3 linked regions of the Stegostoma tigrinum genome follow. The protein of the gene in region 1 binds, or shares a complex with, the protein of each later gene. Links are inferred from orthologs where the notes say so. Each region holds a gene or a part of one and is shown in the gene's direction. Other genes may lie near its edges.

What was found.
Region 2: the proteins of kcnab2a (region 1) and potassium voltage-gated channel subfamily A member 2-like are in contact, whole or in part, in a crystal structure (PDB 5WIE), measured with the Rattus norvegicus proteins. The link is inferred for Stegostoma tigrinum from reciprocal best matches to the Homo sapiens genes KCNAB2 and KCNA2. Residues at the interface, in NP_059000.1 of Rattus norvegicus: Met193, Met196, Tyr199, Ser200, Arg203, Glu231, His234, Lys235, Ile236; in NP_037102.1 of Rattus norvegicus: Asp28, Glu33, Pro62, Met66, Phe69, Asp70, Pro71, Leu72, Arg73, Asn74, Tyr76.
Region 3: the proteins of kcnab2a (region 1) and potassium voltage-gated channel subfamily A member 1 are in contact, whole or in part, in a crystal structure (PDB 1EXB), measured with the Rattus norvegicus proteins. The link is inferred for Stegostoma tigrinum from reciprocal best matches to the Homo sapiens genes KCNAB2 and KCNA1. Residues at the interface, in NP_059000.1 of Rattus norvegicus: Met196, Tyr199, Ser200, Arg203, Glu231, Lys235, Ile236; in NP_775118.1 of Rattus norvegicus: Glu37, Met70, Phe73, Asp74, Pro75, Leu76, Asn78, Tyr80.

The regions. Positions count from the first base shown.
Region 1 is NC_081381.1:25,935,611-25,943,155, reverse strand, and holds the start of kcnab2a (voltage-gated potassium channel subunit beta-2), read left to right. Parts: upstream 1-4,113; 5' UTR 4,114-4,209; intron 4,210-7,545.
Region 2 is NC_081374.1:48,650,066-48,658,259, reverse strand, and holds the start of potassium voltage-gated channel subfamily A member 2-like, read left to right. Parts: upstream 1-4,825; 5' UTR 4,826-4,940; intron 4,941-8,194. UniProt on the Homo sapiens protein: Voltage-gated potassium channel that mediates transmembrane potassium transport in excitable membranes, primarily in the brain and the central nervous system, but also in the cardiovascular system.
Region 3 is NC_081378.1:39,908,101-39,916,540, forward strand, and holds the start of potassium voltage-gated channel subfamily A member 1, read left to right. Parts: upstream 1-4,927; 5' UTR 4,928-5,777; intron 5,778-6,193; 5' UTR 6,194-6,556; coding exon 6,557-8,029; 3' UTR 8,030-8,440. UniProt on the Homo sapiens protein: Voltage-gated potassium channel that mediates transmembrane potassium transport in excitable membranes, primarily in the brain and the central nervous system, but also in the kidney.

The DNA.
Region 1 (7,545 bases):
TCCTTTGGCACTTTTCCAGGATGTAAAGGTTCTTGGGAAAATCACTACTAGTACAACCTCTATCTCTGAAGCTATTTTGTTCAATATCCTAGAATGCACCACATCAAGGAGACACTTCTTTAGCCCCATTAGTTTTCCCCTACTTATCTTTATGGATAGTTATTCAATTTATTTCTTCTCCCTTTTTGGACCCCCTGGTTTCTCCACTATTATTTCCCCTGCTTTATTTTCTGAGGGGCCTATTTTCACCTTGGGTTCTCTTTCTTTTTATGTATTTAAAGAAGCTGTTTCTGTGAGTCTTGATATAACTTGCAAGTTTATCTTTAAGTTTGTTTTCTCTCTCTTCATTTTTGGTTTGTCTTTGTTGGTTTTTAAAATCTCCCAAACCCCTGGCTTACCACTAGTCTTTTTCCCCATTGTACTTTTTTTTTCATTTTGATGTCATTCTTCACTTGTCCTGTTAATCACAGTTGGTTTATTCCCAAACTAGAATCTTCCTTTTTTCACTACGATACATCTTTGTTGTAAGCCAGGGTCCATTTTCTTAAAGTCTACTATCATTTCTGACCTACCTTTGCTGCTAAACTCCTTTCAAAGTCCACTCCAGCTAGCTCTGCCCTCATTCCTTTGAAATTAGCTTTATTTCATTTTAGCACAATTGTTTCCAACCCAAGTCACTCACTCTCAAACTGAATACTAAATTCTATCATGTTATGGTTGTTATTTTCTAAGGGATCTTTTATTATGACATCATTTATGAATCTTGCCTCCTTATACCAGATCCAAAATGGCCTGAGCCCGAGCTGGATCCACACGTTCTAGGAAACTGTCTTGTATGTATCCTATGAATTCTTCCTTTAGGCTACTTCTACCAATCTGACTTTCCTAATCTACATGAAGATTAAAATCTCCGATGATTGACAACGTGCCTTTTTCCTTATACATGCCTTTGTTATTTTCTGATTTATTTTCTGTCCTACCATGTAACTCCTGTTAGGAGACCTGGAGTCTAAGACTCATTCCTACCAGTGTTGTCCTGTCCTTGTTATTTCTTATCTCTACTCATGGATTTTATATATTCCAGTCCAGAATTTTTCTTTTCTTATTGTATTTATTCCACCCAAAATAACAAAGTTACCCCATCATCCTGTCCATCCTTACGGATAGTAGAAACTGCCGATGCTGGAGTCTGAGATAACAACGTGTGGAGCTGGAGGAACACAGCAGGCCAGGCAGCATCAGAAGAGCAGGAAAGCTGACGTTTCGGGTGTTTGATGCTGCCTGGCCTGCTGTGTTCTTCCAGCTCCACGCCTTGTTACTGCTGTCCTTCCTGCCTGCTCTTTCAACAAGTCGGGCACTCCTGAATAGTTAGTTGCAGCTTTGATCTCCTTGTAACAGTATGTTCCTAATGACTATAAAATTATATCTATTAACCTCTATGCTGTTCGTTAATTTACATTGTTTTTTTGTTCCAACTTCTATGTAGATTCAAAGTAAAGAGCTTTTTTGCTTAGTTTTTTTTAAACTATTCTTCCACCAACCCCCTCCCACACTCCTACCTTTTTAGCCTATTTACTGCTGTTTTTGTATTGTTGTACACACTTACTCTTCCTGCCCCACTTTGGATATTATGCTGTGTACCTTTAAGAGGAAATTAATCTGTCCTATTTTTCTTGGAGGTGGGGATGTAAATCTGGTGACGAGGTTTGTGCTCTATGGAATGCATAGTAAATAGTTTTGGGCTTTTTTTGGCTAGACAAAAGAAACATGAGTGGGTAGAATTAGGCTCACACAGACCCAGGATTTTTGTTTGCTTTCAGTTGTTGAAGTTGGGGTATTTGGAGTTGAAGCTGCTCAGTATCGTTCTTTTTCTACTGCTGCAAAATATTGAGTTCTGTCTCTGCTGCTAGATTCATTCATTTTATCTCCTGCACTAGAGAAAGCATGTGAGTGATTTTGCTTTTGCTAGGAGTGTGTAAATGTTTTGCTGGTATAGTGGAACAGTTGATGAGTAGAAGTTAAATAATATATTATTATGTCAAATATTTTGGTAGAGTTTAAGTTATGCCAATTCTTTCTTTGTCTGTATTTTAACTGTGGTGTAAGAATAAAGTGTCTTTTGCTTAAAGTCTAGTAGTTTGATCATTTGAAGCACATCTGCAGTGCAGCATCTTTTACTTCCCTTTAAGTAAGATTAATGTTGGGATCTGGGCTATCTCAGTGATATGTTTTTAAGGGGTTGGTCTGGTCCATAACAATAACCACCCTGTAAAGTTGCCATATCCTTTTTGATTTGTAACCCAAAGCTGTTTCCCCTTTCTCATATGCTTTCCTTACCCCCTTCTAATTGTTTCAGAGCCCTCACTCTAGACCTAGTTATTCAATCACCAGGATACTGGTCCCAGCATGGCTTAAGTGAAGCCTGTCCCAGTGGAACAGTTCTACCCCAGTGGACTTCAAGTAGAGAGATTTCATTTGGGAACACACGGATGTCAATAATGAAGGAAGGAAGAAAGGAATAGACTTGAGAAATGCAAATAGAATAAATAAACAGTTGTTCAAATGGGGACATGTATATCCACCTGCTGCATATTTTTGACTCAAATGTCACTAGATAACCAGTCCATCTAAGTTGTAACTGTCTCATCATGGTGTACATGCCAAGCATCCACAACTTGGATGATTACATGGATGCTTGTTTTTTTTTTGTCCTACCATCTTATCTTCAGAAGCTTCCAAAGGCTGTTTAAATGAAAATAGTTGACTTTCTTGGTGTGATGCTGGTACACAGATCAAATCTGTCATGGTTGGAGCTGAGTGAGCCAGGACCATTATTCTGTCAACTTGCAGTTTGGTAGGCAGACTTTTTGTTGAAATCTATACTTGCTTAAATAATTCTTACATGTGTCTTTTTGTCATTATAGGCAGCTTGGGTAACGTGAAATTGTTAAATTACATGAATTTATTCATTGCTGAAAGGTTCTGATCATGGAGTGAAATCTTGGGCTTGAATAGTGCTTTCTTGAAGAGTCTGGTGTATTACTTCAATTTGACTTTGTCCTAGCTTTAAGACCAGAGTAGACAAACCCTTAAGTTGCTAAGGTTAGTAAACCTGATCACTACCCTTGCCTGGTTTGGCTGAGCCATTGAATGCTTTACTAGTTATAACTGTGGTTGCATTGTGAACAATTATTTTGATCCTCAGGTGAGAACTAGGTGAAGACAAGTATAGGGTGAATCACCAAGAGGTAAGAGCCAATTCCTTTGAAGCAATTTGGGGCATTTTATTCCATTAAAGGTGCTATGTAAGTATCAGTTCCCTTGCTTTTGGTAGCGCTGGTATCAAAAGTATTACACAGTCACCAATTTGGATGCATATTGGTCCATTCATTTCTAGTAGGTTAGTGATCTTTCTATTTGTTGCATTACAATTAGGATTAGTACAAAGTTCAATTTTTAAGCTTCATTTAAAAATATCTTTTTATTGAAATTTCAGAACTTAATTTTATTTATTCCAATAATTATTTAGAAGAAAATTTTCAGACATTGGGGTGTCAATAGTGCTGCAGTAATGCAACTATCTCAATCCAGGAAATATAAACAGCTGTGGTGTGGTACATGTTTAAAAGGAGTTCATGCTTTAATTTTTTTAGTTCGAGCAGCTATCATATACAGCATAATTGTACAATAAACTTATAATTAGTAAAGAAGCAGTAAGGCATCTGTACATCAGAATATTCTAAAATAACCTCTGCTGAAATTATGTTTCTCGGAGATTGAACCAATTGCTCCATTTATCTTGGGGTTTAACACACTTTTAAACCAATCATTATTGTTCAGTTACGAAAATATATGCACTCTGCAAAAATTGATGAAAAGCCTGCACAGGTTCCTAGGTTCATTTAAGGTAGTGGTGGCTTTATCCCTTTTAAGCAGTAAACAATACTTCATCTGCTACAGTAAGCTTTTAGTGGAAGAGAATGCCCTAAATAATTTAACCACTATTTGCCAAGATGCAAGTACACTGATAAGAGCAAATGGGCTGCATCAGAAAACCACTTAGTCTATAGCAGGGGGAATGGATTTGGTACTTACTAATTGCTTTTGACAATAGAACGCCCCCTCCAAATATCAAAGTGCTGTCGTAGAGTCTTATAGATCTTAAAAGCCATTCCTGGTTTTTAAACAAGCAGCTACTCTGGCAGTTGGGTGAGTTTTGCTTTTAGTTTAGAAGAATAATATGTACAAACAGTAGTGATGCTGGAGTGTATCTTCCTGAATGGGTATGCATATAAACTTTTAGTTTTATTAATTTTTAAATTTAGCTTTTATCTGATGCCTTGGAGCATTTTTAAAAAATGGTAAACTTAAAACCAACAGATATGAAGGGAAGGGATTTATATAGTCTTTGTGTATAAACATGAAATGTAAATTTGGGGTATGAGATTGTCTATCGAAGTTTAAAATTTTTGAAATAAAAGCAGCTGCTGGAAAATATTGCTTTTTTGATAGGCATGATTTAGTATTGCATATTTTAATGAAATGGATTTTTATTTTAACAACTTAATTTTAATACTCTTTAAAATTATCTCTAGTAATATTAATAGGGAAAGCTGCACAATGGAATTTTAATTCTAGCTGCAATATGAACCTCCTCCCCCTTTGGCACAACTTTGGGGTCTTTCCTTTCTAGTTGTGCCTTTTTCAAGGAGAAGCATTATAGTAAGCAGCAGCAAAAGTTCAACTTAACCAAAGCGAAGAGTCATTCCCAGAGGTTTGGTAAAAATTGTTTTGCTGTATGCCTGCTATGAAACATTTTGCTTTGCTTTACTGTTTATTTCTTATCTTGCAACAGCAAAAAATTACACACCAATAGATTTTTATTTTGGATTGGAAAACGACAACATGCAAGAAATACTCAGTAATTTATATTTGTGTGTGGGGCTGTACCAAAGATGGCTGCAAATAATGACCATTCATTTTCAATACCAATTTCAAATCAAGAATAAAGCTTCATGGTACTGTTTTATGTACTGATTTCCTGATATCAGTAATCCCTGAAAATAGGACAAAAATGTAGAATTAAATTGATAAATTGAATGGACTTTGTCAATATTTTTAATCTTACAAAAGCAAATGTCGACATTTGGAATGGAGATGCCAGTTTTTACTGTAGTTACGCAATTATTGTATTAAGGTATATCCCAATTTAATGGGATTTGCCTATTTTAGATAGCTGCCTGCTGCTTTGCATCCAACTACAGTTTATTATATGGGGGAGAAAAAAGGGTACTTAGCCCTGTTAAATTTACACGACAGAGATTTGATTGCCCACCAGTGAATCATTATTAGCTTATAACTAAATTTTATGCTAAGCACAGAAGGAAACTGAGGCATTGTTACAAATAGAGTTCAAGGACTTTTGTAGATCACATTTATATTTGTTCCAGTTTTCAGTGCAACTGTCTGTTATTCTTTAACACAGATTAAGTTTTTGTGTCTTAAGAGATTTTTAACTTTGAAGCTATGATTCTTCGATATGTTTCTCAAGCTTAAAAGTAGATTATAGAGCTATTACATTGTTTTCTTTTCTCTCCGGTCCACAGTGTTTTCCCTGTCTATCCTTACTTCTCCAGATTCTGGTATTGCTCCTTTTGCCCTGTAATCATCATACTTGCTCAGACCTGCTATTCCACTATTGCATGCATCCAGAAACTTCCTCGCCTTTTATAATATAATATAATAAAAGTCATCTCTTCTTCCATCTTGCCTGAAAAGGCAGGGCATTTTGATTTGAATTGATGTTGAATTTACATCTGAACTTATAAATTACGCTTGTATTTAATCATCTCCTTGTTTTAATGTGTGTACTTCATGCTATAACAAAACATTTATTTTTCTGTACTTTAATTTTATTTGTATTTGTCATTTAGGTTCTATCCCTTTTTTCCAGCTTTGTTTAATTTGCATGTTTCCTTCATATGCTTTCCAGTATGTCATTAAGTGACAATTTGGCGCATGAGCCTTGCCACCTTCTGCAGCCCAGTTTCTGATTACAGCCTGGTAATGTCTTATCTAAGACCCATATGTTTTGTTGCTACTTCAGTTCAAACTAACATTGAATGTTAAAATATTTAATGGAAACTCGAACAAATCTGAATGCACCATCTGAATGTGTAATAAATAAGTATATGCGTTACAGTTTTTAAAAAAGAAAATATTTAATTCAGACCATGTCCAGGGCACACCAAAATGCCACCTTCAAAGATCAGTATTAGAAATATGGCATCTCTTTTTCAAATATTCTTCAAAAATATGTTGTTCAATACTACAAAAAATGTTATGAATAACCTAACAGTTAATTTTGGTTGTGGTTTTGGCATTTCTTACTTTCAGGCAAAATGCAAATATTAATTTATGACCATGATTACAAATTGTTAAATACACTAACCTCGTATAGCATTGTCTTTGAAAGCCAGTACAAGAGAAGTGAGGCTTTCTTGTATATTTATTAATACTGTGCATATAAACAATACATACATTTTAAAAAGTGTGAAACTTAACTGGTTATGGTGATGGATTGCTAAACCACAGTTCAAGAAAATTCTGTGTTTGATCCCATTTATGCTGGTTGTTTTTCAGCTTGTGTAATTATAAAGACCATATAATTGACCTCAGGAGAAAATTATTTGTTGTACCTGTTTCCGTTGTCCAGTGACTTACTTTCTAGTGATTCCCACTTTTGAGAAAAGGATTGAGTTTTACCGTGATGCCGCTCAATTTGAACTGCTTGCCTAATTCTACTGGAAAAGCTTAACCATGCTGGGTGGTTGAGCAAAGAAATGAAAAGCACCATGAGATTGTTACCCAGCAAAAGTTGGTATCTTTAAAGAAAATGATGGGAGAGTGAAGAACCTGCCTCAGAGGCTGGAAAGGAGTTTTGTTATGTTGTTCTCCGTGGGACTTGCCTAAATAAAAATTGTAAATATTTGAACCAATTTAAAAACTGGTATCTTAGAAGTACCTTTTTTGTAACGAGGCATAATATTTCTATGTTTTGATTATAAAAATGTTTCATTATAAATGCTAAAATATTTAATTAATTGACAAATGATCTTTTTTGTTAGCAGTGGTGCAAGGTTAAGTGAAGGCTTCCCCTTTCACAATTTATGGGCATGATCTTTCACATCGCGTTCAGTGGTGTATGCATGCCACCTGATTTCACTAAAGACAGTAATCTCAACTATAGGAAATCCAACAAATTAACATCATGAGGCCAGCATCAGTTTACATGATTTTTGTCTTGGAAGCCAGCAGTACAATCATGCCACTAAACTGAATGTAAAAACAAGTTTGAAGAATTTATTATTTGAAATTCTACAGCTGCTGTCATGTCTAAATGATTTAAATTAGTCATATTAGCAGGAAGGTTTCATTTTAACAATCAGAATATGTTCTGGATAATTACTAGAAGATTTAGCTTTATTGTCACAAGAAAAGCCTCACTACTTCTTCCATCTGGTCTGTGAACAATCTAGTCACAGT
Region 2 (8,194 bases), on another chromosome or scaffold:
GTCTGCAGCCTCATTCACAACCTGAACTACAAATCTTCTCAAAAATATTTGTGGAGCCCCCTCCGCCAGTAAGTTGCTTCATCATTCACCACCATTCATGACTGGATGTGGCAGACCTGCAGAGATTAGATCTGATCTCTAGGTTGTCAGATTGCTTAGCTCTGTCCATCACTTGCTGCTTTTGCTGTATCACAAGCAGTCCTGTTTGGTGGCTTCACTGGGTTGACAATTCATCTTCAGGTATGCCTGGTGCTGCTCCTGGCATGTCTTCCTGCATTCTCCATTGAACCAGGATCAATCCCCTGGCTTAATGGTAATGGTTGAGCTGGGGATATGCCAGGCCATGAGGTTACAGGCTGTACTGGAGTACAGTTCTGCTGCCTTTGATGGTCCACAGCGCCTCAAGGATGCCCTGTCTTGAGTTGCTAGATCTGATCGTAGTCTGTCCCATTTAGGATGGTGATAGTGTCACACAACACGATGGAGGATGTTCTCAATGTGAAGGTGGAAATTTACTTTCACAAGGAGTGTGCGGAGGTCACGTATCTTACAGATACTGTCATGGACAGATGCATGTGCAGCTGGCAGATTGGTAAGGATGAGGTCAAATATGTTTTCCTCTCTGTTTTACTCACCAACTGCCATAGACCCAGTCTAGTAGCTATGTCTTTTAGGACCAGCTCAATCAGTATTACTGCTGTCGAGCCACTCTTGGTGGTGGACATTGAAATACCTCACACAGAGTACATTTTGTGCCCTTGTCATCCTCAGTGCTGCCTCTAAGTGTTGTTCAGCATGGAGGAGTACTGATTCATCAGTTGAGGAAGGATAGTACATGGTAATCAGCGGAGGTTTTCTTTGCCCATGTCTAATCTGAAGCCATGAGGTTTCATGGGGTCCAGAGTCCATGGTGAAGATTCCCAGAGCAACACCCTCCTAACTGAATACCACTGTCCCACCATTTTTACTGGGTATGTCCTGCTAGTGAGACAGAACATATCCAGGGATAGCGATGGTGCTGTCTGGGACATTGTCATACTCGTGGAATCATACCTCGAAGACAATGTCAGACTGTTGCTTGACTGGACTGTGAGACAACACTCCCAGGTTTGGCTCTAGATCCCAGATGTTACTGAGGAGGACTTTCAGGATCAACAGAGCTGTTTCTGCTGTCCTTTTTTCCAGTGCCAAGGTCGATGCCAGGTGATCAGTCTGACTTTTTAGAAATGTGTACAACTGAATAGCTTGCTAGGCCATTTCAGAGAGCAATTGAGAATCAACCACATTGCCATGGGTCTGGCATCACATGTAGGCCCGACCAGGTGTGGACAGCAGATTTTCTTCCCTGAAGTACCAGATGGGTATTTCCAACAATCAGCAATGATTTCATGGTCATCCGTAGATTGTTAAATCTAGATTTTTAAAAATTTAATTCAAATTCCACCATGGTATTCAAACCTGGGTCATCGGAACATTATCTGGGTCTCTGGATTAACGGTCTAGTGATAATACCATCAGCATTCCTTCACTGTTGCTGAGTCAAAATCCTGGAATTCACTCCCTAATGACACTGTGGGACAACCCACAGCAGGTGGACTACAGCGATTCAAGAAGGCAGCTGGCACCACCTTCTCAACAGCAACTGGTACGGGCAATAAATTCCAGCCAACCAGCGATGCCTACATTCCACAAAATGAAGAAATAAAAGAAAAATGTCCTTCAGGGAAGGCAACCTGCTATGTGTTTGGACATTTACAAGTCACTGGCCATTCTGGGAAGGCAGATAAGGTAGACACAAAGAGACAGAAAATGAAATGCAGGGGCGAAGTTGATTATTTTAATATGTCTACAAATCAACCAGAACATTGACAGAATCTCACAAACCCAGAAACTCCATTACCTAGAAGGACCAGTATTACACATTTACATGGACACAGACTTTTCCAAGTTACACACTGTCCTGACTTGTGTGACATTGAGGGCTGGATCAGCAGAAGTTTCCTCTATTTAAATATTAGGAGGACTGAAGACTAGGAAGACTAGGAAGACTGAAGCCATTGTCTTCAGTCCCTGCAACAAACTCCACTTCCTCACAATGACTCCATCCCTCTCACAGTCAACTATCCAAGGTTGAACCACACTATTCCACAGCTATGGTGAAATTTTCACCCCAAGATGAGCTTCCAAACATATATCATCACCAAGAAAGTCTATTTCTCACTCAGTAGCATCATCCAAGTCCACCCTAGTCTCAGCTCATCTGCTCCTAAAAACTCTCATCCATTCCTTTGTTACCTCTCAAGACTTAACTATTCTAAAACCCACCTGGCTAGGCTTCCACAATCAACCTCCCACTAATCTTGAGATCCTCAAAGACTCTGCTCCCAATGTGCTAACTCGTACCAAGTCTTGTTCACCTATCACCAATCCATGTTCACTAATCAGCAAAGGCTCCAGGTTAAAATGGGCCAACATTTTAAACCAAAATCTAAAACTGCTGGGAAAACTCAACAGGTCTGGCAGGATCATGGAGAGAAAACAGAGTTAATGTCTCAAGTGATCCTTCTTCAGAGCTCTGTTTCAGATCTCCAGCATCCACAGAACTTTGCTTCACCAAAATTTTAAAACCTCATTTCTGTCTGCTTTCCTTCTAGGTTGTGATTATCTGTATCTCTGTGACCTCCTCCAGGCACAAGGCCTTTCATATCTCTCCCCAAAAAGCAGTAGAGGCTATGTCATGAATGGGCAGCAGTAGAAATCACACGTAGAAACAGTCAATAGAAGTAAGAGTAAAACACAAAACATCATGAAAGTTAGATAACTGCAGAGAGGTGATCAGGGAGGAGAAAGGTTAAACAGAACAATGAATGGATATGGATTCAGGTCCACATAAGGGAGTCACACAAACTTGAGAGCCACAGAACCTCACTGATAAAATTACACAAAACTAAAAGCAAATGGTCAAAAATACTCACCTCTGCAACAATTTCATTTCTCAATTTGAAAATCTCCTCTAGGAACTTGTAAATGGAATGATAGCAGAAGCACTACATTCACAGCAAACTCTTACTGTTTAGGAAATTTGCAGCGAGCGGGTGACATCTCTGTGCAGCATCCTTAAACATCCTGTAAAAGAAGTTTACAAATTCAGTCAATGTGAGCCAGTGAGCATTCAGAAGAGACAAACATTTCTCTCAGTTTGAGTTTGAGTTTGTTGTGCGTATATCCATCCTTTCCAACTTTGGGAGGCACGGTGGCTCAGTGGTTAGCACTGCAGCCTCACAGCACCAGGGACCCGGGTTCGATTCCAGCCTCGGGCAACAGTCTGTGTGGAGTCTGCACATTCTCCCTGTGTCTGCATGGGTTCCTCCGGGTGCTCCGGTTTCCTCCCACAGTCCAAAGATGTGCAGGTTAGGTGGATTGGCCATGCTAAATTGCCCAAAGTGTTCAGGGGTGTGTGGGTTATAGGAGGATGGGTCTGGGAGGGATGCATCAAGGAGCAGTGTGGACTTGTTGGGCCAAAGGGCCTGTTTCCACGCTGTAGGTGATCTTAAAAAAAAACCCTTGGCAGCAGAGTTTATAACTATCACTGACAGAATAGGACAGAAATTCATATCATTCCCATCTCCTGGCCCAGGAATGACCATGCCTACTCTCTGCTGCACATTGCATTGAGGTCAGCAGTCTCTTGATTCAAGGACGACATCTACACTGGGTTGTTTCTGCCCTGGGTCTTCACGTCACTGAACAGAGCTTTTGGGCACATGGAGCAGGACATCCCGTGGGATGCAGAGATCAGGTTCTGCTTCCTTTTCTTTCCTTCTGCGCTGCTGCTCTGCCTCATGAATAAGACACTGGGTCTGAAAAGCAATTAAAGTTTTATAGGCAAAATGTCTTCATTCTGAACAAAGGGCAACAAAGTCCTCCTACTCATTCTAATGTTAATATCAGAGAGGTGGTCAGTGAGAAACCTTGAAAATTTGAACAGTATTGGATAGGGTAGGTGCAGGAAGGATGTTCCTGATGAAATAGGATACAGGGTAAAGCATTCAGGACAGAACTGAGGTAAACTTTCTTCACCCAGAGAGTGATAGCCTGTGAAGAAGTCCGCCCCCAACTCCAGGATGGATATCCAGCATGAGGCCCCGCCCCCATCCCAAAAAGGGTAGCCCCAGGCCACGGACCTGCCCAGCCGCCCTCGGCCCCGCCCCTACCACGATGCGTTGCTCCCACAACCCGCGGCTCCGCCCCCCCAGCCCCTGGAAGGAAACCCTAGTTTATGACCACGCCCATCAGCTCGTGGCTTCGCATCCCATCCCCTCGTCACTGGCTTTGCCTGCTCTTGGGGGCAGGTTAAAAATGGCATTCACCAAGCGGACCGTGAAGGGGGAAAACCTAGCGACTGCTGATTTTGCAGTTGTTTTCTTCTGTCTCTTTGTAACTTCCAGCTGGCTTCTCACGACCCTCTTGGAGATCTCAAGACCCAGTGACTTCACCCAAAGGTTGTATTTATTTATTGTCCTCGACGGCCCCAAACCAAACGGCAGCCGTTCACCTCAGCCAGTTTCCCCATGAAGGAAAAGCTCCACCGCTGAGCAGTCCCTGAAGATGAAATGTTTCCACACGGTGCCTACTGCCTCACTGTTCTTATCACTGCGCATGCTCCAGCACCGCGCTTGCGCACGGCTCTTCTGCAAAGCGGGTAGTTCGCCGCCGCACGGCTGTCTGGGTAATGACATCGCCATTCTGTCTCTTTCCATCCTGTTGTCTAGTCTCCCGGACAGCTGGTTTGAAATGCAGAATTATGGCAATAGTGTGGATTCAATCGCCGCTGAGGGTACCATTAAGCACTTTTCTTCTCAACCTCTCGCCTGGTCTGGGGCACGGTGACTCTCAAGTTAAACTATAACCAGTCATGTCTCTGAAGAGAGAGCAGCTCGGTAAGACTGTGGAACTTTACCTGGCTTTACACCTAACTGGGGTACCACACTGGAAATCATGCCTCCCTATTAATAGAATTGTTACAAAAGTTTTTGTAAAATCTGCAAAGTTCCCCAATTTACCTGACACTCAGACCCAGCTTGATTATAAAGATTGGTTTCTGTACTAGAAAAGAATCACTATTTATGCAAGCAATTAGACTGTAGCTACAGGTAAACAGTTATACACCATCGGCATACGATACTACTTATTAAATCTCTGATCCCTTATAAACCTGCCATTTACACACATAGGCAGACAGGATTAAATAAGCTATGGATAGAGTGGAAAGATTGGAAGACAGTCGTTGTTCCCAAGTTGTATTGTTAAAAATGATGATTATGATTCATTTGCTGGCCAGTACTTTGCTTCAGCCATGCTTGCTTTCTTTGATTTGTGAAAGATACAAGATGTTTCCTCATGGTAGTCCCATCCAGAAGATTATAACTTGTCTGCACAGATTTGCAATTGGCTTGCCCATAGTAAACAGAAGGTAGTGGTGGAAGGGGATTTTTCTGGCTGGAGGTCTGTGACTAGTGGTGTTCCATAGGAATCCATACTGGGACCTCTGCTGTTTATGATTAATGTAAATGATTTGGATGAAAATGTAAATGGATGTGTTAGTAGGTTTGCAGATGACACAGACATTGGGGAAATTGTGGATGGTGTAAAAGGTTGTCAAAGGGTACAGCTGGATATGGATCAGTTGCAGATATGGGCTGTGAAATGGCAGATGGAGTTTAATCCAGGCTGGTGAGATATTGCACTTTGGGAGATCAAATTTTAAAGAAAAATAATGGTTGCATTGATGAACATAGGGATCTTGAGGTCCTAATCCAAATCTCCTTGAAAATGGTCACACAAATGGATAAGGTGGTAAAGAAGACATATGGCTTGCTTGCCTTTGAGTACAAGAGTCAGGAGCTCCTGTTGCAGTTTTATAAAACTTTGGTTAGGCCACACTTCAAATATTGCTTTCAGTTCTGATCACCATGTTACAGGAAGAAAGTGGAGGCTTTGGAGAGGGTGCATAAGAGAATGCTACCTGAATTAGAGGGTATGATCTCTAAGGAGAGGCTGGACAAATTAGTGTTGTTTTCTCTGGAGTAGCTGAGACTGAGGGGAGACCTGAGAGAAGTTGGTAAAATTATGAAATGCGTAGATAGTATTGACGGTCAGAATCTTTTTTCCCCAGAGTTGAAAAGTTTTAATACGAGAGGGCATGCATTTAAGGTAAGAAAGTTAGAAGCGGAAGGTTATAAGGTAAGAGGGGGAAAGTTCAAAGGAGTTGTAAGGGGCAATTTTTTTTTAAACACACAGAATGGTAGGAATCCAGAAAGTGCTGCCACGGGTGATGGTGGGGGCCTTACGATTGGGACATTTAAGGGTCTTTCAGAAAAGCACATGAATAAGCAAGGAATGAAGGAATATAGACCACGGACAAGCAGAAGGGACAGATGGAATTTAACTCTGGTAAGTGTGAGGTGATGCACTTTGGAAGCAGTAACACAAGAGAGTACTCAATAAATGCAGGACCCTAGGAAGCTGAAAAGAACAGTGTGATCTTGGAGTGTGTCTACAAATCCCTGAAGATGGCAGAACAGGATAATGGGTTAGTTAAGAAGGCACCTAGGATACTCGCCTAGGATAATCATATTGGAGAAGTATAGGATTTTGGTTAGGGCACAGTTGGAGCAATCTGTGTAGCTCTAGCACCTTTTTACTATAGGAAAGATGTGATTGCACTCTAGGGGGTGGAGGGGGGATTCACCAGGATGTTGTTTGAACATAGAACATAGAAAAGTACAGCACAGCACAGGCACTTCGGCCCACGATGTTGTGTCATGGAATATTCCTAATCCAAAAATAAAATAACCTAACCTACATTCCCCTCAATTCACTGCTGTCCATGTGCATGTCCAGCAGTCGCTTAAATGTCAATAATGACTCCGCTTCCACGACTACCACTGGTAAACTATTCCATGTGCTCACAACTCTCTGAGTGAAGAACCTCCCTCTGACATCTCCTCCATACCTTCCTCCTAACACCTTAAAACTATGACCCCTCGTGGCAGTCAATCCTGCCCTGGGGAAAAGTCTGTCTATCGACTCTATCCATGCCTCTCATTACCTTGTACACCTCGATCAGGTCACCTCTCTTCCTTCTTCTCTCCAGAGAGAAAAGACCGAGCTCAGTCAACCTCTCCTCGTAAGACAAGCCCTCCAGTCCAGGCAGCATCCTGGTAAACCTCCTTTGCACCCTCTCCAAAGCCTCCACATCTTTCCTATAATAGGGCGACCAGAACTGGATACAATATTCCAAGTGTGGTCTCACCAGGGTTTTGTAGAGCTGCAGCATAACCTCCCAGCTCTTAAACTCAATCCCCCTGTTAATGAAAGCCAAAACACCATATGCTTTCTTAACAACCTTATTCACCAGGGTGGCAACTTTGACGGAGCTATGCACTTGAACACCAAGATCCCGCTGTTCCTCCACACTGCTGAGAATCCTGCCTTTAATCCTATATTCAGCATTTAAGTTCGACCTTCCAAAATGCATCACTTTGCATTTATCCAGGTTGAACTCCATCTGCCATTTCTCAACCCAGCTCTGCATTCTGTCAATGTCTCGCTGAAGCCTGCAATAGCCCTCGATACTATCAACGGCACCTCCAACCTTTGTGTCATCAGCAAACATACTAACCCACCCCTCAACCTCCTCATCCAAGTCATTTATAAAAACTACAAAGAGCAGAGGCCCAAGAACAGAGCCCTGCGGGACACCACTCAACATTGACCTCCAGGCAGAATAGTTACCATCTACAACCACTCTCTGCCTCCTGTCTGCCAACCAATTCTGAATCCAGACAGCCAAATCACCCTGTATCCCATACCTCCTGACTTTATGAATGAGTCTGCCGTGGGGAACCTTATCAAATGCCTTGCTGAAGTCCATGTTTGGGTTTGGGTTGGAACACTTCAGCTATGAAGCTCAGGTTGTTTTCTTTGGAGCAGCGAAGCTTGAGGTGGGGACCTGACCAAGGGCACAAAATTACAAAGGGCATGCACAGGTTGGAGAGAAGGCAACTGTCCCCCTTATTTGAAAGATCAATAACAAGGAAGTATCATTTCAACATGAAATGCAGGAGATTTAGAGGGATCTTGAGAAAAATGTTTTCACCCAAAGGATAGTGGGTGCATGGAATGCAACTAG
Region 3 (8,440 bases), on another chromosome or scaffold:
AATCATTACAGTATGTCCTTGGTTCTCCACTATTTCTGATCTATTGCATAATGAGTTATATGAACTGTGCTCAACTGTTTCTTAACACTATCCCATTGGACCAAAGTTATGATGTTGATTTTTATATTGAAGGGAGCTTAGCATAGCTGATTAGAAGGGTGTCAGGGATCACATTGTGGGATGATCATTTCCTGGGATCAGTATCCAAGGATGCTCCACTGAAAGCTGGTCTCATGATGGCCACAGTGAAGTATAGGCTACTCACACCTAGAACAGAAAGATCAGATTTTTGCAGCAGCAGCAATGCTGTACAGTTGCAGGTTATCACAGATAATCCTCCACCTTCTTAAACTTTCTTGATGGCTATCTGGAAGAAGACTTCAACTGTGCTGCATTTCCTTCAAATGTGGACTGAAACGAGACTTCAATTGAGAAAAACAAATGATGCTCTCCTTTGTCAGCTTTTTGCACTTCAAGAATTTCAAAATTGTCCGATTTTTCCTCAGCAAAATCATTCTTGTACTTGGCACTGTTTCAAATGCAGTAGTGTACAATAGTGACTCATGTAATACTCAGAAATTAATACAAAGGAAATTCTTCTTATTTGGGAGTTTATGTTAGTTAAATTTTCATTGGCCCAATGAATGTAGGAAATCATGTTGATCAGTTTGATGTTTCATTCTCCCCTTTAGAAAACACCAGTACAGTCTTTACCTAGGTGGTTTTTGCTGTCCCTTTATTTGGAGGATTATCATAGCTGAATTTTTAATGAGCTTTATCAACTTGGAGGTCATGACAACCAGTTTGGTTTATCATACCCCATATCAGAAAACTCTAGAAGAGCTCCATAAAAACATGCCTCTCACATACAAGCACAAACAATTTGTCCATTTATAATAGGTCAGACAGGTGAATCAAATTGGCCATAGGCCTCCATCTGTGATGGTGGGGACCTTAGGTGGAGGCTAATCATTCACTCAATTTCTAGGTGAACTTGGTTGTGAGCATCGTAACCTTGACTTTTGCATGAGCATGCTGAGATCTGCAATCATTGATGATTGAGATGTTCATGGAGACACCTCCCATTATGTTCTTAATTGCCTGCTACCATTCACAATTGGATGTATTAAAACTCCAGAGTTTTGCTCTGATCGATTGGTTACAGGCTGTTTAGATCTGTCTATTTTATCTGGCTTCTCTGGACCATGTATGGTCAAGGTTTACAAGTTGCTGGTCTCAACAGACTGTTTACATTCTGGAAAATACAAGATGACAGCTTTCTTTTATTTATTTGATTATGAAAAGATATAACAGAACTTTTGACCAGTTGATTATTTTAACATGCCTTGGTCAAATTTACTGAATGTAAAACTAGAACGAAGGATATAAAAACTATTTGTCTTAACTGCTTCAAGATAGACAATGCTCACAAGTTGTCAATCACATATAATCATACATAACTGGTTGAAATAGGCTGTAGATCCCCTAAAGTAGCTGTTCTGTCAGCCAGAGAATAAATCAGGAAATAATGGGGCCAATTTAAAAAAGGGCAGTATAAATCATGGCTGACTTTAATTTTCATATAGGTTGGTAAAATCAAATTGGCAAAGGTAGCCACAAGGAAGAATTCATAAGAGTGTATTCAGGACAGTTTCCTCAGACAATATGTTGTCATTCCAACCAGGGATCAGCCTATTTTGGATGTGGTGATATGCATTGAGGTAGGTTTAGTAAATGATCTGAGTAACAGATCCCCTATGGACAGTGACAATAACATGGTGCAATTTTGAATTCAGTTGGAGAATGAGCAACATGGGTCAGAAGCAACTGTGCTAAACTTTAATATGGGTAAATACATAGGCATGAGGGCAGAAATGGTTGGAGTAGATTGCAAAAGGAGTTTAGCAGGAAAGGTGGTTGAACGCCAATCACAAAATAAATATTATGATGTAGAAAACATTAGTAATATTCCATAAATCCTAAACACTCAAGAGACAATGTGGGTAGGATAAATAAACACAATAACTATCAATAGAGAACAGTACAAGGGAAACTAATGGTATGAAAGGCTAATAAGTCCTCTGGATCTTAGAGTTATATCCTAAGATTTTAAAGTAAGTGGTACACAGCGGGTAGATTCATTGCGAGTAAAATTCCAAAAATACTTAGATTCTGGAAAAGGACAAGAGGATTGGAAAATGACAATGTAACACCGTTAATCAAAAATGGAAAGAGGCAGAAAACAGGTAATTATAGGCTTGTTAGCTTAATATCTTTGGCTGGAAAATGTTAATTTATTGCAAATGATATATTTCAAAATGGAGTACTTTTACACAATATAATCAAGCAGAGTCAACACAGCTTTGTGAAGGGGATATCATACCTGACAAATTTATTACAGTTCTTTGAGCGGTTACAAGCAGCTGAATAAAGGTGAACTACTGGATGTAATGTGTTGTGATTTTGAAAAGGATTTGAAAAATGTACCACATTTAAAGTTACCTAATAAGTTAAGAGATCATGACTTTTGGGGTGAGTGCATTACCATGAATAGATGCTTGGCTAACAAATAGAAGACAGTATTGAGATACAGATAACATTTTCAGGATGGTAATCTGTAAGTAGTGGAAAGTCACTGAGATCAGTACTGGGGCTACAAATATTTGCAGTACATGTAAACAACTTGGAAGCAGGAAGTGAATATATCATCATTAAGTTTGTGGATGACACAGAAATAGGTGGGAAGGCAAATATTGAGGATGACACAGTCTACAGAGACGTTATATGAGTGGACAAAATATGGCAGATGGAATATACCATGGAAGAATGGGAGGTTATGCATTTTGGTGGGAAAATGAGAAAAGCTTTTATTTAAATGGAACAAGACTGCAGAAAGATCAGTACAAGGGAATTTAGGGGTCTTTGTGCATGAAAAGCTGATGTCCAAATTTAGTGGTTTATAGCAAGACAAATGGGCTGTTGACCTTTATTTGAAATGGAATGGGGTATAAATTAGGGAGGTCTTGTTAACATATACAAGGTACAGTCAGATCACATATAGCATTGTGAACAGTTTTGATCCCCTTGTTTAGGAAAGACATCCATTCATTGGAGGCAATCCAGCAAAGTTTCACTAGGTTGATTCTGGATATAGAGGGATTTTTAATTTTGAGAAGTTGAGTAAATTGAGCTTGTAATCATTGTAGTTTATTGAAACATGTAAGATTCTTAGGAGGCTTGACAGAAGAGATGTGCGAAATTATTTCCCCTTGTTAGGAGGGTTTAGAACCAGAAGGCATAATTTCAGAGTAAAAAGTTACCCACATAAGGCGTTTGTCTTGTGAAGAGAGATTGAACATTTTAGGCCTACAGTTTCTGGAGTTTAGAAGCATGGGAGGAGATCGAACTGAGGTATATAAGATGCTAAAGGGGATTTACAAAGTAAATTTAGAAAAGATGTTTCCTCATGTGGGGCAATTAGAGTTCATAGTTTGAGGATAATGGCTAGCAGATTTAAAAGAGTTGAGGAGAAATTATTTCCCTCAAAGGGTCATGAATTTGTGGAGCTCAGTAACCCAAAAGCGTGGTGGATGCTGGGACATTGAGTAAAATTAAGCAGGCAACATACAGATGACTATTTAGTATTGGGTTAAAGAGTTATGGTGAGCAGGCAAGAAAGAGGAAATGATGCCGAGCTGATATCAATCAAGATTGTATTGAATGACAGAGAAGGCTTGTTGGGCTGAATTACCCACTCCGGCTCCTAGTTCTGATGAATGGCAGGAGAGATTACATACAGATAGAATGATTATGCAAGGTAAGGAGAGATGATATTGGGACTGGCAAAGCTATGTTTTGGATCACTATAGATATGTTATGATAATATGTTCAAAGGGAAATACGCTTTCAATGTCCCCACGATGTTTCTCCAGGAATATAGACAGCAGTGTTCGGTGATTTTCTTTCCTCTCTCTGTAGTACCTGGGGTCTCCAGGACAATGTGGAAGATTGACAACCTGAGTCTCACCACGTTTGGGCCAAAGCCCCTTGGGCATGTGGCCCTGGTAGTGTATAATTTTGACCTCCCTGTTGGGAATATTTGGAGTTAGCAGAATATGTCCATATAAACTCACTGCACAACAACACGCCACGGCTGACCATCAAATTCGTATCCCGAGTTACAACAACTATTTCCCATTTGTTTCTCCACAGTTCATAGCTTTTATCAGCGGTGAGAACAAATTTGCAGGTAAATGGTGCTATGTGGCGAATAATCAAATTAAACAGATGTGATGTGTGTTGCTCGAGGTTGAGAATACCGACGCGGAACAAAACGGGACCGTGCACAGTGCCTTCTGCTAACGTGACTTGGCAAGAGGCACATTACATAACTCAGAACATTAACTATCTTGAGAGCAGTGGCGATCCTTTCTCTGGTAATTGTCAGGATGTTCTCAGCTTCGATCGATTTCCAAAACCATTTGAGGTTTATGCAGATAATCGTTTTGTGCTTCCTAAAACGGGAGGCCAGCAAAACGCGGCAAACTGCTGTTTACCTTTGTCAGCGCGAAGCTGTAGTGTTTTTTAAAGTTTGGGTGAAATTGTGGGACCATAAGATAAACGGGAAGTGGGTGCCTTGTTTAATTGTAACATCCTGCATCAAATGAATATTTCTTGAGTTATCAATACTTAATACGATCAGTGCGCTGTGCAAGTTATCAACATGATGTCCAGGACATAAAATTGTTATAGTTTTAAAATAATGAGTGATGGGATCAGATGATTTTCTATCCTTGCAAACTAAAGGGTGCGGCATTGGTCTGTTAAGTATTGAAGCACAGTGTATGCCTGCAACTGTTTACAATTGATGAGAGCTCTTGTGCGGCGGTGTTTATATATATGTACATGTTGGTACAGTCTAGGGGTCCTCGTTTCTCCAGGAGCAGTAACGCTGTACCTGCGGGGCCGAACTGGCAAACTGCAGTGATTGTATTCGGAGGTTTGCCACAGTGTGCTGCAGTCAAAGGAACATTGTCGTAAAATCTAACCAAATGATGCAGCAGTTTTGATGTTTATGATGCGGATTTTTTTTTGCGAGTGTGCACGGCGTCGTGTGCAATGAGGATCTTACCGGGACTGCCTGCACTGCGTCTAAAATGTCTCGATTTGTTATTTGAGAATTAACAGAGCTTCTATTATTTTTATTAAAAAAACAAAAACAATAGGAAGCGGCTGTTTTGTCTGCAATGTGGGAGCTGCTTGCGCTGCAGCTGTTAACGTTGCTGTCCGGAGAACGGTTTCCTTGCCTACTACACTCCATGAAGCACCTCTCTTATTTTTGATGATACTGCAATGCTAAGGGATGTCCAGCTCGTTTGACTTTTAATGCATTTAGTCTTCTACTCTGCACCACATGATCCTCGAGCAAGACGCCAGGATGTACCAGAAGATTGCTTTCCCGCTACCTGTCATGAAGTCCATGTGCATAGTTTGTGTTTTTCTCTCTCTTTAACTGGTGGTGTATTTAAAATAGCAGCCCGTTATATTTTACGTAGCCGCCGGTCCGATGTAACAGTCGTCAGGAACAAATGACTTGTAAATGGTGTCAGTACAGTATAATATAGGCTATTAATATTTCAGCAGATCTCATACACACAACGCTGTAAAGCGATATCTATATTAAGGAGGCAGGAGTACGCAGGAGGAAGGGCTTTGCATCGCTCGGAGAGCCGGGCCGCATTCCTGCACTCTTCATTCTGTCCTCCTTCATTCAGCAGGTAAGGCTGGCTGTTTCTTTTTTGTAGATTATTGTTATGATTTTTCTTTCACTTTGCTCCTAGATTTCCCCTCGCTCCCCAACCTCGTGGTAGTTGTAGTGCCCAGTCCTCCTTATCCTAGTACCGCAGCTGGATTTTAGCCGAGAACTGCTTTAGGTGTACACAGAGTGTGTGCCTGGGATGATGTAGGACCCAACGCAGTGCACGAGCCGCACTCACCGTCGGGAGGGGACAGGGGCTGTTTTCATCAACACCACCCCCCCCCCTCCACACAAACACACACACACAGCATCCCCCCCCCCCCCCGCCCATCAAGTTTCAACCCTGAACTTTTATTCTGCTTTTGTTAACCGCCCCAACCCCTCCCGTTTGCATAGAGCTTTATGTTGTTTGATGCTAACCTTTGTGTTCCGCAGCACCTTGGTCCCGAAACAAAAAGGTGGGCGTGGGCCAGACAGCGGCACGGCAGTTGGCCTGAGTTGCCCGAGATTAGTTTGGATCCGTGTGGAAACGCCGAGCCCTGAGATGCTCGAGTCGGCTCGAAAGCCCCGAGTTGTCCTTTAGTGGCCCGGAGCCCTTCAAACCCCATCCCACCTTCCATCTAGTCCTCCTCCCTCCCTCACCCACCCACCAACCCCGGTTGAAGATCTCCCCACCAACTCAGCCTCCGAATGTCCTCCCGGGGGTGGGGAGACTGAGAGCCAGTGATTCGGAAGCCCCTCGATCGGCCCCCTTCCCTCACCCCTCTCCCTCCTGAAAGGCCCCCTTTCCCGCCAAGAATGACAGTGCTGGCAGGAGACAACATGGACGAAGCGTCGGCTTTGCCCGGCCACCCTCAGGACAGCTACCCTCCGGACAACGATGACCATGAGTGCTGCGAGCGGGTGGTCATCAATATCTCGGGCCTGCGCTTCGAGACCCAGCTGAAGACCCTGGCCCAGTTCCCCAACACCCTGCTGGGCAACCCCAAGAAGAGGATGCGCTACTTCGACCCCCTGCGGAACGAGTATTTCTTCGACCGCAACCGGCCCAGCTTCGACGCCATCCTGTACTATTACCAATCCGGGGGACGCCTCCGGAGACCGGTCAATGTACCCCTCGAGATGTTCTCCGAGGAGATCAAGTTCTACGAGCTGGGCGAGGAGGCGATGGAGAAGTTCCGCGAGGACGAGGGCTTCATTCGGGAGGAGGAGAGGCCCCTGCCCGAGAATGAGTACCAACGACAGGTCTGGCTTCTCTTCGAGCATCCGGAGAGCTCCGGGCCTGCCCGGGGCATCGCCATTGTCTCGGTCATGGTCATCCTCATCTCCATCGTCATCTTCTGCCTGGAAACTCTGCCCCAGCTCAAGGACGACAGAAAGAGGACCATGCAAGTGGGCAACACCACCATCCCGTACAAATCCAACATCCTCAACGACCCCTTCTTCATCGTAGAGACCCTGTGCATCATCTGGTTCTCCTTCGAGCTCCTGGTCCGCTTCTTCGCCTGCCCCAGCAAGACAGAGTTCTTCAAGAACATCATGAACTTCATCGACATTGTGGCCATCATCCCGTACTTCATCACGCTGGGCACTGAGCTGGCCGAGGAGGAGGAGGGTAATGTGAGCGGCGAGCAGGCCACGTCCCTGGCCATCCTCAGGGTCATCCGCCTGGTGCGGGTCTTCCGCATCTTCAAGCTCTCCCGCCACTCCAAGGGCCTGCAGATCCTGGGCCAGACCCTCAAGGCCAGCATGAGGGAGCTGGGCCTGCTCATCTTCTTCCTCTTCATCGGGGTCATCCTCTTCTCCAGCGCCGTGTTCTTCGCCGAGGCGGACGACCCGGACTCTCACTTCAACAGCATCCCGGATTCCTTCTGGTGGGCGGTGGTCTCCATGACCACGGTGGGCTACGGGGACATGTACCCCATCACCATCGGCGGCAAGATCGTGGGGTCGTTGTGCGCCATCGCCGGCGTCCTGACCATCGCCCTGCCCGTGCCCGTCATCGTCTCCAACTTCAACTACTTCTATCACCGGGAGACGGAGGGAGAGGAGCAGGCTCAGTACCTGCACGTTAGCTGCCCGAACATCGCCTCGGACAGTGACTTACGAAGCCGCAGCTCGTCCACCATCAGCAAGTCCGATTACATGGAGATCGAGGAAGATGTGAACAACAGCATAGACAATTTCAGAGAAGCAAATCTCAGAACTGGCAACTGCACTATAGCAAACCAAAACTGTGTGAACAAAAGCAAACTGCTAACTGATGTTTAAACAGCTGCGGGCTCAGTGACCCCGGGAGCCTCGCTTTCTAGACACTGTTACTGACCCTTTGTATTTTGCCTTGTTGACCTCGTTAATGCGTTGTGGCATTGCCGTTATGCTCAGCAAAATAAGCTTTCAGAATTACGTGGAAGGTATAATTTCATTTATTTTTAAATGGCTTTCTTTCTCCCAACTGGGTAACGAGGGAGAAATCTTCTCCAGATCCGTTCATGAGAGCGTCCTTAGGTACAGACTTCGAAGCTTGGACTTATACCTGCTCGCCAACCTCGAATGGAAATTTATTTTTCTCTCTCTCAGTTCATTTACAAATACCAATGCATGTGTTAAGGCACAAGTTTGCAAGCTGCACCGTGCATCCAAGCGAAAACAACCAAATACGCCAGATTCGTGAGTTTTGGT